Linked DNA regions of Mytilus edulis. The protein of the gene in region 1 purifies or fractionates together with the protein of each later gene. This does not show direct contact. Links are inferred from orthologs where the notes say so. Each region holds a gene or a part of one and is shown in the gene's direction. Other genes may lie near its edges.

Region 1 (6,848 bases):
GTATTAACATGATGTTTAATGATCTATTCCATGCGTCTTCGTCTGTCATCTTTCAACATAAATATTTGTTAAAATCGAACCATAAACGCATCATGAAATTTCATATCGCACATGCAAAAAAGAAGCCATAGATATTACTGAAAAACGATCTTTTAATATGAAAATATTAAATATGATACATAAAAATTGACAAGAAATTGATGATTTTTGCCGTGAACTATAGGTTGATTTACACAAAAACAGTGATATACGGACAGTGTAAGAAAGTTGTAACAAATTGTTAAGACTGATTGAAAAACGATCTATTATATGAAATATACATAAAAAAATCGATTGAAAAACGATCTATTATATGAAATATACATAAAAAAGTGAAGATTTTTGCAGTGCAGTGGGTTGATTTACACAAATACAGTGATTTACGGACATACACACTATAAAAAAGTTGGAACACATTGTTAAGTCTGATTAATAATAAAATAAATCAGTTGGTACGAATTGACAATTGACTTGGTACGAATTGTCCAAATCTGGAACGAACTGGTTTGGAACGAATCGGACTTGGAACGAATTGACTAGCATTCACCTATCTACGCACAAATATAAAGTATGAAAAGTCCATTCTAAAATAAACGCATCATCAAAGATCCCAAAGGACATAATCATTTGACATGATAATATTACCAATAATTCGATATTATAAGCAAACGATATTTTTTTTTTAAAATGGTGTGAGAAAAAAAAATACATATTTATAACGTACAAATGTATGTTAAAACATGGACAGTCTATACATAGTGATACTCTTTCAGTTTGAGTAGATCATAAAATTTCAACTAAAATGTCACCAAGGATATTCACGGAGCTCGAAAAGATTTTTATTTATGATTGCTTTGATAAATTGGATAATACCAAGGACGTATAACTAACTATATATAACTAATGCATCATCTAGCCATTGCATCTGCCCATTGCCTAGTTTTATCTCAGGCCTACTGGGTGAACTCGAATAGTCAAACCCCATTGAAAGACAGTTACATACAGCTTGGCAATGCAACATGGGCAATGCCTAGAAAGAATTAATTATAGCTAGAACATTTGTTAATTTACCAGTATTTATACATAAAATTACTGATCTGTTTTTTTTTCATTTTCTAGTCCTTCTGAGTAAGTTTACTTCCTAACTATTAGTAAGTTCTACTAAAATGGCAAGTTATCCCATGAACAGTAAGATTACCATCAATAAATTGGGAATGGTACTATCTTGAATTTTACAAAATGTGTCAGAAAAGCACAACAGGATGTTCATATTTTTTCTACACTTTACAGCGTTTATTTTTTACTTTTTTTACTTTTTTTTTTTTTTTTTTTATTAAAAACTCATCTCAGACAGGGACTTTCTATACAGGGACTTTAATATAGAAAGTCCCTGTGTCAGACTACATGTAATATCATACACATTGCGTAATATTACTGTTACTCTCAGATTTTATTGACCAGTCTATATCTTTACTTGGGCTCCAAGGACTCCTCCAAGTGCACGTGATCGGAAGTGTTTTGATTGAAAATGAGACATTTTTGCACCAAAGAACAAAGGACTGTCACAAAACCCGAATTCAACAATCGGCATAAACTGTATCAGCTTATATAATTGTAAAAATGACTAAACCAAAGCGCTGTTAATTCAGTTCATCTTACAAGTTCATAATTTTGGACCAACAGCATTAAAATACCAGAAAATAAACATGGCTAAGAATAAAAAGACAAACAGACAAATAATAGTACAGAACTTAGAAAACTAAAGATTAAACAACACGAACCCCATCAAAAACTGGGGGTGATCTCAGGTGCTCCGGAAGGGTACGCAGATCCTGCTCCTCATCTGGCACCCGTCATGGTTTTTTTTTATTTTATTACAAATGCGGTTAATAGTCTAAATCGGAAGGTCACATTCGTGAAAAGGGGAGGGTTACGACATAAGGAACATATTATCCGATATCATCTGTGGAACGGTTATCCATAACGGTCAACCGACTCGTAATGGCGTCCGTAAAATTTACGAAGGGATGATTTCAAATTCACCATTTAGAACTCTTGGTTTATTAGCTTCAATGTGAGCAGCAATCATCTATCAAGGAAATCATGATAGGAAATACACATGCCAAGAAATCCTCGCTAAAAATTCCGGTCGACCTCCTACGGCAGTCATTAGTAGCTAAAGATTTTATTTCATTCAAGAAATTAATTTATGACCTTCATGTACTACGTGTCGCTTAGAACACGGCCAAATACGAAACGGTCAATATTAATCATCCATGTAATTTGCTCTATGAGTTCTTTGCAGAATTTCAACGGAGGCAATTTCTTGGCATGGGAGAAAGGAAGAAAGACTATTCACAATTTGTCTCACATTTGTTTTTCTCTTTTTTAATTAAATAAAAAAAATAAACCTTTTAAATATAGAAATCATAAGAGACAAATATTCCCTGTGGACTCCCCCCCCCCCCCCTTTTATTTGTGCTTTCTATTTTCAACCCTCGAATTAAGCTTTCGAATCTAATTAAAACCTTGCTTTCAAACCAATCTATTCATGTACCGGACCGGCAACTTTCTTTATTCAATACGAAAATCTACAGTGTTGTTATACACATGCATTTTGTTTGCTTGGAGTCCCCGCCCGAAAACTGAAAGAAATAGCCTTCAAGAAATTATTTATGACCTTCATGAACGTGTCGCTTAGAACATGGCCATATACCAAATGGTCAATATTAATCATCCATGTAATTTGCTCTATGGGTTGTTTGCAGAATTTCAACGGATGCAATTTCTTGGCATGAGCCCTTGAACATCGTATCAATTGGGCCGCATATATACTCCGTATGCAGGCGCTGCTGAAATGTTGCTACATAGAAATGGAAAGTTCACAATTGGGAAGCTGAAATCATCTCTTTTGTCGTAAAGTTTTATTTTCAACCGACCCTCATTGTCAATTTCTACATACAAGTCAACTCAAGTTATGAGAAAGACTTAACTGTATTTGTAGCATCCTTTATCTCTAGTTCGATGGGATAGATTTGTTTAACATATATTTAAATAAATGTTAAGGGGGTTCGCGGGTCTAAATCATTTATATAGGATTTCTCTATATTTTTCTATAAATGAACTTTATCTTAGAGTTAACAGAAAAATAAAATAAAAAAGTGGGGTCACAGTTCATTTGCGCTCACAATCTGCCTTCGAAAGAAGCATACATTTTTGTTAAGGTGTTTTTTTTCTGTTGAAGTAATAGGAGAAATAAAGGTAATATCGAAAAAAAAAGAAAGAAATTTATTACAGAAATCGCTCAAATTTTACAATAATTTAGTTTAAGTACAGCTTATATGGAAATTATATTAAAAAATATAGGTCACCGATGAGTTAAAAAAGATATTTCAATTTTAAAGCCAAAAAAATGGCATTTTTCCACCAAAGTGAGATAATTTGGAACTTTTTCAATGATGTATACATTTTAAAAGTCATCTGGGGCCAACAAAAATTGTTTGTTTTGAATGATTTTTGTACCATATGATAAGTAACAACTACAAAAGGTAACAAATAAAAATTTGAAATGAAAAACAAATGTTTATTTTTTTTCTGAAATCTTTTATACCCTCGAGCCTCCTTAAATTATTTAACTTCCCAGTCCACAAGTCACTGGATAGTCAAACAAATTATGCAAGGTCGACTTGATTGGTCATGGGCTAAATATTCAGTTGAGGAAAAATATTGTTAGTGATATTTGTTGAGCGTCTGTTTAGTACAATACAATAGGAATGTTCCGAATGATATTCCCGCAATTCTCTGCTCTTGCCTTTCACTTTTCTCATCTGAATCAATTTCATGCAGGCAGGATGGCGCAGACAGATTGTGCCATGTTTGAAGAAGATGAAGTATGCAAGCGATGTGAAGACAAGATCATCTATGGTATTGTTACTGAAAGTTCAGAATACATCAGCAGTGACGAAGAATACGATGATGATGAATTGTTAAGTCGTGGAACAGTTCGAATAATCTGGCACCCAGATGGGAATGAAACTGTCGAAGAAGAGAAAAAGGTGAACGTTCGAAATCACAAGGCCAAAACTGCATAATTTATTAAATATAAATAAGAAGCCTTTGTTATTTAGCTTACAGATTGTCATAAATATTGGACATTTATCCTTTATCTATAGGTGTTTTTCTTCTTCTGAACGGGGATAGTTTCTCTTTGAGTAACTTAATAACTATAGTACAACCTGTGACTTTTCTTAATTATACCTACCCTCTTGTATGGTCAACATCAAATGGTGACCATTTATTGGAGTATTAAATCTTGAGATATTGGCTATTAATTGTGGTCATAAAACATAGGTTGATCATGTGGACAGCTGGTTGATGTTAAATCTAATTATGCAATACAATACAATACAATATTTTATTAACGTCTCACCTTTTACAAAGCAATACATAACACATTGATTAAAACAAATTACACATATGTAAAAGCCATTCATATAGAATTATGAGAGACGATTATTTACACATTAGAAACAAATTTCACACCGCTTAAATTATGTTACCTGTTGTTGAAATCAATCTGGGTTGTAATTATCAGCTTGTATGTTCCATTAAATTAACTGTACAGGTAACTCATGTTTCTTTTAAAATTTACATTTTGAGCTATTGTTGCAATTGTAGAATAAAATGTTGATTTAGTCTTTGTTAATCTATATTGAGTCATAAAAAAATGGGTTAATCTATATTATTTGTTGATTTTTCTGTCTTCATCTTTTTTTCTTTTTTTTTTTTGTATCTCTCACACTAGGGACAATTTTCTAGTGTTAAACATCTTTCTGCTAATCTTCATTTAATACTTCTAATGGCATGTGTAATGTTCATGAACAAATGCAGCAAGTTTCCCAAAAGAAGAATGGTCTTAAACTGATCTTATATTAAAATGATACATGTAGAGAAACTTTAAAGGGTCTCACTAATTAGCGCCAAGAAGCGACAAGAAGCAACAAGAAGACTATTTAGCGACAAGAAAACATTTTTTTTTTATTAAATATAAACATGATAAAAAAATATGCATTTTTTTTTAATATACGGGCAGAAATAAATTGATAATTTTTTATTATATTGATAGATGAAGAAATTTAACATTTGTGAGGAAGAAAGGGATGGTGTAGTTTTTATCAAACATAAAGAATATGTTGAAGATATTAATGTGTGTAACGTAAGGGTACTCAAATTGCACTGAGTACCCAAATTGCACCTATTTAGAAAGAAATAGCAACGGAAATCTTACAAGATTTCCTAGAGACTAAACAATTTGTATTTTTATGATTTGATACTATGCACGTCTTTCAACATAGGTAAACATATTTAGATATACACAAAACGTTCACAGTCTTTATCAACAGATGGACTGTTTACTAAAAAAGCAAAATGTACGAAAACGTCACCATGCGACGTCATCAAAACGTCATCTTTTTAAAATTAGCAAATACAATATATTAAAGTATCCATTTCGTAAAATATGAAGAGTAAGCATGGACTAATATCCAATTGTTCAAAATATTTGAAGAAATTAAACAAAAGCTCGGTTATTAGACTTTTGACGATGTGAATTTAAGCATGGATGCAATTTGGGTACTCCTCATTACAGAATCATGGATAGTTTGGAGGTTGATTCAAACCCATTTTTTTATGACTCAATATGGATTAAAAATCAAATCGGTGTACCTATACAATAAAGAAGGATAGGGCTACAAAATAAACCCAGTATGGAAATTTTTTTCCTGATCATAAAACAACATAGGTGAAAAAACTGTCAAAATAGGTGCAATTTGGGTACCGTCACGTTATCTGTTTTCAATAAAGTAAGAGTATGAATAAACGAATAGAGTGGGCATAATAGAATATAATCTCTTGATTCATTTTCTTAATGCTATGTTATGAGTTTTAATCGCCACAACTTTTATTATTCATGAGCAATTGACAATAGTTACCTAAAACCCTGCTCTTTAAAATCTGGAAGTTTTAAACAGGTTACCACACAGTCATTTTGTACATTAAGTTGTGAAAAGTAGATCTTATTCCTTTTATCATGGTTGTGGATTGATTGAAATAAAATTAAAAAAACACATGGCCCTTTATGAAGTTAAAAGGTTTCTTAGTTCTAATCATTCAGCAAGATCCTTTTAGTTTCAAGCAGGCTAAACATATAGATTTTACAATTGCATTGAGATTGATGAATTATCTCCGACTCCTGACAATTAAATTTTCGAATTTGATTGTCCAGGGTGAAGAAATACTTCATTATAATTTTATTGTCTCCAGACATTTTATAAATGCTAGAACTTAAATTTTAGTTGTACCATTTGCAAATAATAAGCCTTAGGAAAATGAACATTGTTCATGTATATTGAAACATGGCAGCCATTTCTTGTGACACATTAGTCATTAGTATTATTCATTTATTTGAAGTCAACCATATACTCTGAGGAAAATATTTGACTTCATGAATTCTGAAGTTTCTTGTGAATCTACAGGATGATATTTGACATAAATGTATATTTTATATGTAACATTGGTAGACAGATCCTTGATGCCAGGAGATGTTATAAGATTTACATGTACAGTGATATTGTTTGCTTTAAATTTCCGGAGAATAAAGGCTTTTTCCCCTGGAGAAGAATCCCAATTTGAAAAAAAAATGGCTTAAAATTATTCCCAAAAAGACAAATTTTTTCCCAAACAGTGCAGTCTCAGTAGTAATTGTGCATGAATACAAACTGAAAAACACTAATTTTTACATTTTTCATGCC
Region 2 (6,960 bases), about 35 Mb from region 1:
ACAAAACAGTGAATGAAAAACAAATATGAAATACAGCAACAACGAACGATCGATGCGCTCCCCTGAGTTTGGTCAAGCACAAACATGCAGGACGTGACGGGGTTGAACTAGTTTGTTTGCGAAAAACCCTCATCTTAATCTGAGACAGTGGTGTAACATAAAAAGCTTAAGAACCAAATATAAAAATCAGTGGAAAAGTAGTTCAGTGGTTGTTGTTAGTCCGTGTCTGTCATATTTGTTTTTCGTAAATTGTTTTGTTATGAATTAGGCGATTAGTTTTTTAAATTGTTTCAATTTTTTCTCATGTCAGAAGCAAATATGTAGAAAAACCGAAAAATCGTTTATTTAAATGCAAAAACTTCAATAACGAGTCGACTTCCTATTTTTGTCATGTCTTATTTGTAAATCATGGCTTACTGAACAATATATAGCATCTAAGTACCTATCTATCTGTTATAGTTTTTGAGATAATAGGCAACAATGCAAAAATATTGGAAAAATCTTCATTTATGGGCCGAATAACTTCAGTATAGGTTGTCAATGAAGATCTCGATCATTAAATCTCGAATTGTGTATAATGGTGAAATGTCAGAATACTTTTCATGCAATATCGGTGTAAGACAGGGTGAAAATATGTCTCCTTTTTTATTTTCATTGTATTTGAACGATCTTCAACAGTTTATTGAAGAAAAAAATGTATGTGGTTTAAATTGTATTACTGATGAAATAGAGAAGAGTTTGATATCTACTTAAAACTGTTTGTGTTATTGTACGCAGATGATACAGTGTTATTTTCGGATAATGCATCCGATCTACAGTTGCAATTAGATATATTCTTTGAATATTGCAGTACCTGGAAACTAAACTTGTCAGTGAAATCACAATATGATCTTTTTGATAAAATTGTTAAGCCAATTCTCCTGTATGGGTGTGAGATTTGGGGTTTCAGTAATACTGATATTATAGAAAAAGTGCACTTAAAATTTTGTAAACTATTATTAAACCTTAAGAAGTCGACACCGAATTTTATGATTTATGGTGAACTTGGTATTTATCCCATGTCTTTATATATACAGCTGCGTATGGTTAATTTTTGGTCAAAAATGGTAAATGGGGATGATAACAGGATTGCTAAAATACTATACAAATATATGTTCTTGAAAAGTTCTGACAACCAATTTAGGTCAGATTGGTTGAAATACGTTAAAGATATATTAGATAAATGTGGATACAGCAATATATGGTTGTCACAAGGAAATTTTAATCCAAAGTGGTTGGGTATTAGTTTAAAACAAAAGTTATCTGATCAGTTTCAACAGAAATGGAGAGCTGATATTGACTGTTCGTCAAAAGGTTTGGCCTACAAATTGTATAAACAAAATTTTGAATTTGAGGAATATCTGAATATTTTAAGTGATAAAGATAGAATAACATATTGTAGATTTCGAACGGGTAACCATAAGTTACCAATCGAAACTGGTAGATGGAATAAGATTGAGCGAAACCTTAGATATTGTAACTTATGTTATTGTAACGAGATTGGCGATGAATTTCATTACACTTTGCAGTGTAGTTCTTTGGCAAATTTTCGATCCCAATATTTGGATACTTTTTTCTTGCACAGATGTAACATACTAAAATTTGAAAAACTATTTCAGTTAAAAATTAAAAATAAGTTGAAAAAGCTGTGCAAATTTATCAGGGTTATAACTTTTCAAGTGAGTCTTCCTGGTTAATCACCACTCTTCGCTACTATACTGTTTATTTTATATGATTTGATATTTTCATCTCATCTTGTCATGTGTGTTTGTGTTATGTTATATAACTTTTGATGAACTTCTTTGTACCATTGTAATTTTATGGTGTTTGAGAAATAAATAATCTTGAATCTTGAATCTTCAGTTGACTTATTTGTAGAATTGTCATCATCTTCGTTTTTGACGTCTAATGTTTTTGTCTATCTATTACGGTTTTCGAGATAAAAGACAAAAAAAAATATGATAAGTCCTTTGGATAAGAGCAATGAGTTCTATAAAAGTCTGTATACAGTGGACATCATGTAAATCTCAACATTCCCAACAAATTTGCTCCTGTCACATTTTTTTCAGACTATGGCGGCTTTGAAAAAGAAGTCATTGTAGTGGATGGAATAATTTTCGATGATAACGCGGTTCTGTTGAAAAGTCGTCGAATATTAAAAATTCGGAGAAACTGAATCCTTTAGATAAAATTTGGTCCAAAGGTAATTGACATCATAAAGGACACGAATGTAAACCAAAATCACGTGTATTCAATGTCTGTTAAAATGAAGCATGGTTAAAGAATTGAAATTGTCGAATTGATACCCCTTTTAGTATATTGTTTGAATTGTTGTAAATTTGTAATGTAAGCGTGTTTTTTTTAGCTTTCTATGCGATAAAGTCGGGTTTTTGCTCATTTTGAAGGCCCCACGATGACCCCTCAACCTGATTAAAATTCAGATCTATCAACAGTCGCACCCTCGGTTCGTATTATGAAAGGAAAAGGCAATCAGAGATCTATATTTTAATTAGACTGAGCTTTTAATTACTTGTTTGTAATGAAAAACTAAGAATGTTATGAATTTTAAAGTGAGAACAGCATATTATCAAAATATTATATCAATTAAATTTTATTTATCAAAATACAACCCAAAAAGTCTGAATACCTGTGAAATAAAACAAATCATAACGTAACGTCGTTTTAGTCGTATGTTTCGGGTCTCAATTTTTACAAAACTGTTTTAACATGTTATCTTAGATTTTTCAATGATTGTATATTAGGGGACGACCATTTTATATTCGGGGGGGGGGGGGGGGGGGATCAGGAGGATTTTGAAAATAAATAACTCAGCCTTCATAATCACAAAAATAAATGGTTTGTTCTGTGGTAGTTTGAAAATAAATTACCTGACTTGCAATGTATTGAAAATAAATAACTCAGCAGGTCTAATCGAAAGTATGAGATGGCACCAGATTCTTTATAAATTCATCTTTTCCCCCCAAAAAAATCGGGGAAACACTTCCTAATCTTTTTAATAATAAAAGTATAAATATTATTTAAATATACTTGAAATGTCTGAAAATTGGTTTCATTTAACTTGAAGAATATATTGTCTCAGGAAACCTAACCTCACTTTTATTATAACAGGGCCGTAACTACATTGAGGCAAATGCCTCATGTAGGAAATTTCAAAACTAAACGCTTGTCTCCATATCAAATTGTGTTCAGGGCGAGTGCCTTGCAAGAAGCAAGTTCTGTTTTCCCTCAGACGTAGCCCTGATTTTTCGGATCAATGTTTCTTATTTATTTGTCTTTCGTTCATTGATTGCCCTTCTGTATTCTGTTAGTGTTGCGTTCCTTTTGTAATCTAGTAATCTTGTTATGAACTTGATCGTGAGTTTAAAAAAATCGAATATCAAATGGCCGTCCCCTTAGACTTAAAAAGACCATTGCCAAATTAATGGACAGTGGAAGATAGTTGCCACCTTCTCATTTGCAAGCATACCACTACATAAGTTCCTTATTTTATACTAATGTTGAAAGGTTACTGAGAATAGAAATTTATGAGATTTTCAAATATATTTATGAGTATGATCAGAGACATATAATATGTCTCTGGTATGATATATAGTACTTATCATCGGACTGTTGGTGTTTTGGTTTTTTTAACGTCTACGCACTTCTGTCTTGTCCGCTGTCTCTGTTACTTTTTATATCCAATACAGACGGATCAACAGATTTCTGACAGTAAATTCGTTTTTTAATCTATTGAGACATGAATTTACAATATACCTCATAAAGATAATTTACCTGACAGGAATAATAAAATCATAGACGTAACTCGATATATTCTCAAAATAATCATACTTTTTATCCAGAATTTAGGGTACAATACCGGGATTAGGACGACTTCTTCTAAACAGTCCTCGATAGGTGGCGCTCTATCCGCCTACGTGTTGACGCCATGAATGTGTAGTTGTTGAAATATAATTTGCTTAGACGTTCATTGTAGACAAAAAATAAATAGACAGTACAATGTCTGCCCAAGAACAAATGAGGGCGATGTTGGATGAGCTGATGGGCACAGCAAGAGATGGTATGTTGAAGACTCTAAGGACAAAATCATGCATGAAAACCAGGAAGCAAACAGGATTTGAAAAGCCTTCCGACCCAAGCCATTAAAATTTATTTTCTAAATGTTCATATCATGGTTGTCGGAATACAAAATGTTCAATTTGAGAATTTTAAGAAAACAAGAATTTGTTGCACTGTTTTCGTTTATGAACTTGTGTTTGCAAAAAATCTTGTTTTGCCTTTTGGCGTCCTTGACCTCTTTAATAAGGGGAGATAACTAAAACTTGTTTGAGAAATTTGTATATTGTTATCTTTGTCACATTTTAATTTTTCGGGATAGTAATGATTTTTTAAATGATGAGAAATTAAATTTCAACTTATGTTTGAAGTAAAGAAATTTAATTAATACTTATATATTATAAGTTTGGCTGTCAGATGAATCAAATATGAAATATTATTAAAGTCGGTCTATCTATGATTATGAATTGAAATGTAGTTTGTACCTCTCACTTTATATATGTAGAGTTGTATACATTTCTATGAGTGGTTTGGTATATGTTTTTATTCAAATGCTTTAGTTGTCTGCTTTACAGTAACATTTGTTTTCAGGATTTTTTTAATGTGTAACTGTTTTATACATATTTTTTATTACTTTAAAAGCACGCTAAATATGTATTTACAAATGTATCTAACATAAATATATTTTTTAATTGAGTGATAAGGTAAAGTAAGAGATTTTCAGACTGGAATTTATCTTGTAGTTTGAGATAAAACAGTCATAATTAATAAAAGTTATCAAATATTGCATTTGTTCTCATTTTACATGTTTAAAGAAAATATATTTTGTTTCAAATATTTGCATGTATTTCAAATATTTAAATGGTATGACTCTAATATTTTATGCAAACAGTTACACATTGAAATACAATAAATTCATGGGTTTTAATAATTTGCATCCCTATTTTTCAAGGGACCCCTTTCATATGGTCAGGTGTATTGCAGTCAAATTTGCCAAGGGTTTTAAGGTGATGAAGTCCAAGCCGTGAGTTGAAATTAAATAGCTTTCATTGCAGAGTACTATTTCTATTGTAACTTTGTCTATTTCATGTATTAATAAATTTTCATTCTCATAAATAGCATAAATCAAGTCAATTTATCAAAAGGTAAAATATGTTAGCAGGTAATGTTAGAAAGGTAAATTTATTAACAGGTAATTTTAGGGTAAATTTATAACAGGTAACTTTATAATGTTTAATATGTAAACTTTAACTTTTATTAAGCCAATATTGCATACTGAAATGTATTTGATAATTTCTACACTTAATTAATGAGCATGTTGGCAGCTTTGAGGAATCTTTACTGTTGCAGGTGAGAGGAAAAGGTGTAAAACTAAGAAAAAAGCATGCCACTGACAGATGATAAAAGGATCGCAGTGTGTATAATATGTAAAGTACAAACAATCTAATGTTTGAAAATACTGTCAAAAGATTTGGTTTATGTTAATGTTTCAAGATTATGACCAGAAGTTGTGATCAAACATGCTTTTAGAACAGTAAAAATGATAATAGGACAGAGTTTACCCTTTGTTTCTAAAACTTGATTTTGAAAAATTTCTGTGTTCATAAATTTGTCAAAAAGGAAAAATTTGAATGATAAGTACAAATTTAACTTGGAGAAACATAAGGAACAACTAAACTCTGCTACTTTGAAAACTTAATTACTTTGATTAAATGTATAGTTTACTTTAATATTCTGATGTGGTATTGTAAAAAACACATGAATCCTTTGTACAACATTTTTGTACAATATATGAATAAGTTTTTTTAATCGAGAACAAGGATATTGGATGTCACCAGTAAAACTGTAAGTACTTGTATGGTTCATAAATGTTTTTAAATAAATAAATCTTAACATATCAATTATTTTCAATTTATTGCAAGAGCAGATATGTTGTGTGTATTTTTAAAAGCCAAATCTTTTGACAGAAATATAGATAAAAGTACATGTCGCAATCTATGATATTCTAAATTGTTTTCTATATTGAAGTACTGCAAAATTTGGTAACAAAAAAAACATTAGAACTAATAGTTTGCAACTTGTAATGCTTAATTATCATAGTAATGTATAACAGTTGGCATAATGATATTTTTAGACACAACACAAGGAACTAATGTTTTGGCTTCTGAAATGTAAAAAGAATGTGTACACTTAATGTACATAATGGCACCTCTTTTCTGAAAACCAGTCAATTTGGAAAACAAAGATTTGATTCCTTTACAAAGATTTTTGTTATTTGTAAAATACAAAAGATTTCATTCAGTCATTATGCGAACTGATTATAAAATGGGCAAAATATCAAGGTGTAAAATTTGTTGAATTTTCTAAGTTTCTAACATGTTTGTCGAATCATATAATTTCTAGGAGATCGATCCAGATACAAAGTGAAGTTTGACGATCCTCGGGTATGTAAGAGTTTCCTGCTAAGCTGCTGTCCACACGATATTCTTTCTAGCACGGTAAGTGATTGTATATAATGGAAAAACATGACATGGAAATTGGTACGTACATCCCACATAAAGTTTGATAGGGTTTCCTTAGCCATGTTAGCTACATGTAGAACACATTTTTTTTTTATTTGGAAAAACATGTTTACAATGTTTTTTCAATTGGTTTTGACAATTGATAAATGTATATACAATTTTATTGAGGCAATGTATCATCCCTATTTTCCCTATTAAAAGAGCAAGTAAATGTGTGGTTAATTAGTAAATACTGATTGGAATAATTACAAAAGAGGTGCAAATTTTCAGTAAGAAGATATCAGAGGAACCAAAGTACATGCAGACATCTTTGAGATATTATTTA

The links. Proteins that work in one complex are often made in the same cells at the same time.
Region 2: the proteins of (E3-independent) E2 ubiquitin-conjugating enzyme-like (region 1) and putative RNA-binding protein Luc7-like 1 purify together in Homo sapiens (affinity purification with mass spectrometry; 3 studies listed by BioGRID and IntAct, counting the BioPlex papers as one, with this or other methods). This does not show direct contact. The link is inferred for Mytilus edulis from reciprocal best matches to the Homo sapiens genes UBE2O and LUC7L2.

Annotation. Positions count from the first base shown.
Region 1 is NC_092352.1:21,626,217-21,633,064, forward strand, and holds the start of (E3-independent) E2 ubiquitin-conjugating enzyme-like, read left to right. Parts: upstream 1-3,827; 5' UTR 3,828-3,890; coding exon 3,891-4,094; intron 4,095-6,848. UniProt on the Homo sapiens protein: E2/E3 hybrid ubiquitin-protein ligase that displays both E2 and E3 ligase activities and mediates monoubiquitination of target proteins. Negatively regulates TRAF6-mediated NF-kappa-B activation independently of its E2 activity.
Region 2 is NC_092352.1:56,820,279-56,827,238, reverse strand, and holds the start of putative RNA-binding protein Luc7-like 1, read left to right. Parts: upstream 1-3,935; 5' UTR 3,936-4,056; coding exon 4,057-4,117; intron 4,118-5,065; exon of another isoform or gene 5,066-5,137; intron 5,138-5,463; exon of another isoform or gene 5,464-5,527; intron 5,528-6,516; coding exon 6,517-6,611; intron 6,612-6,960. UniProt on the Homo sapiens protein: May bind to RNA via its Arg/Ser-rich domain.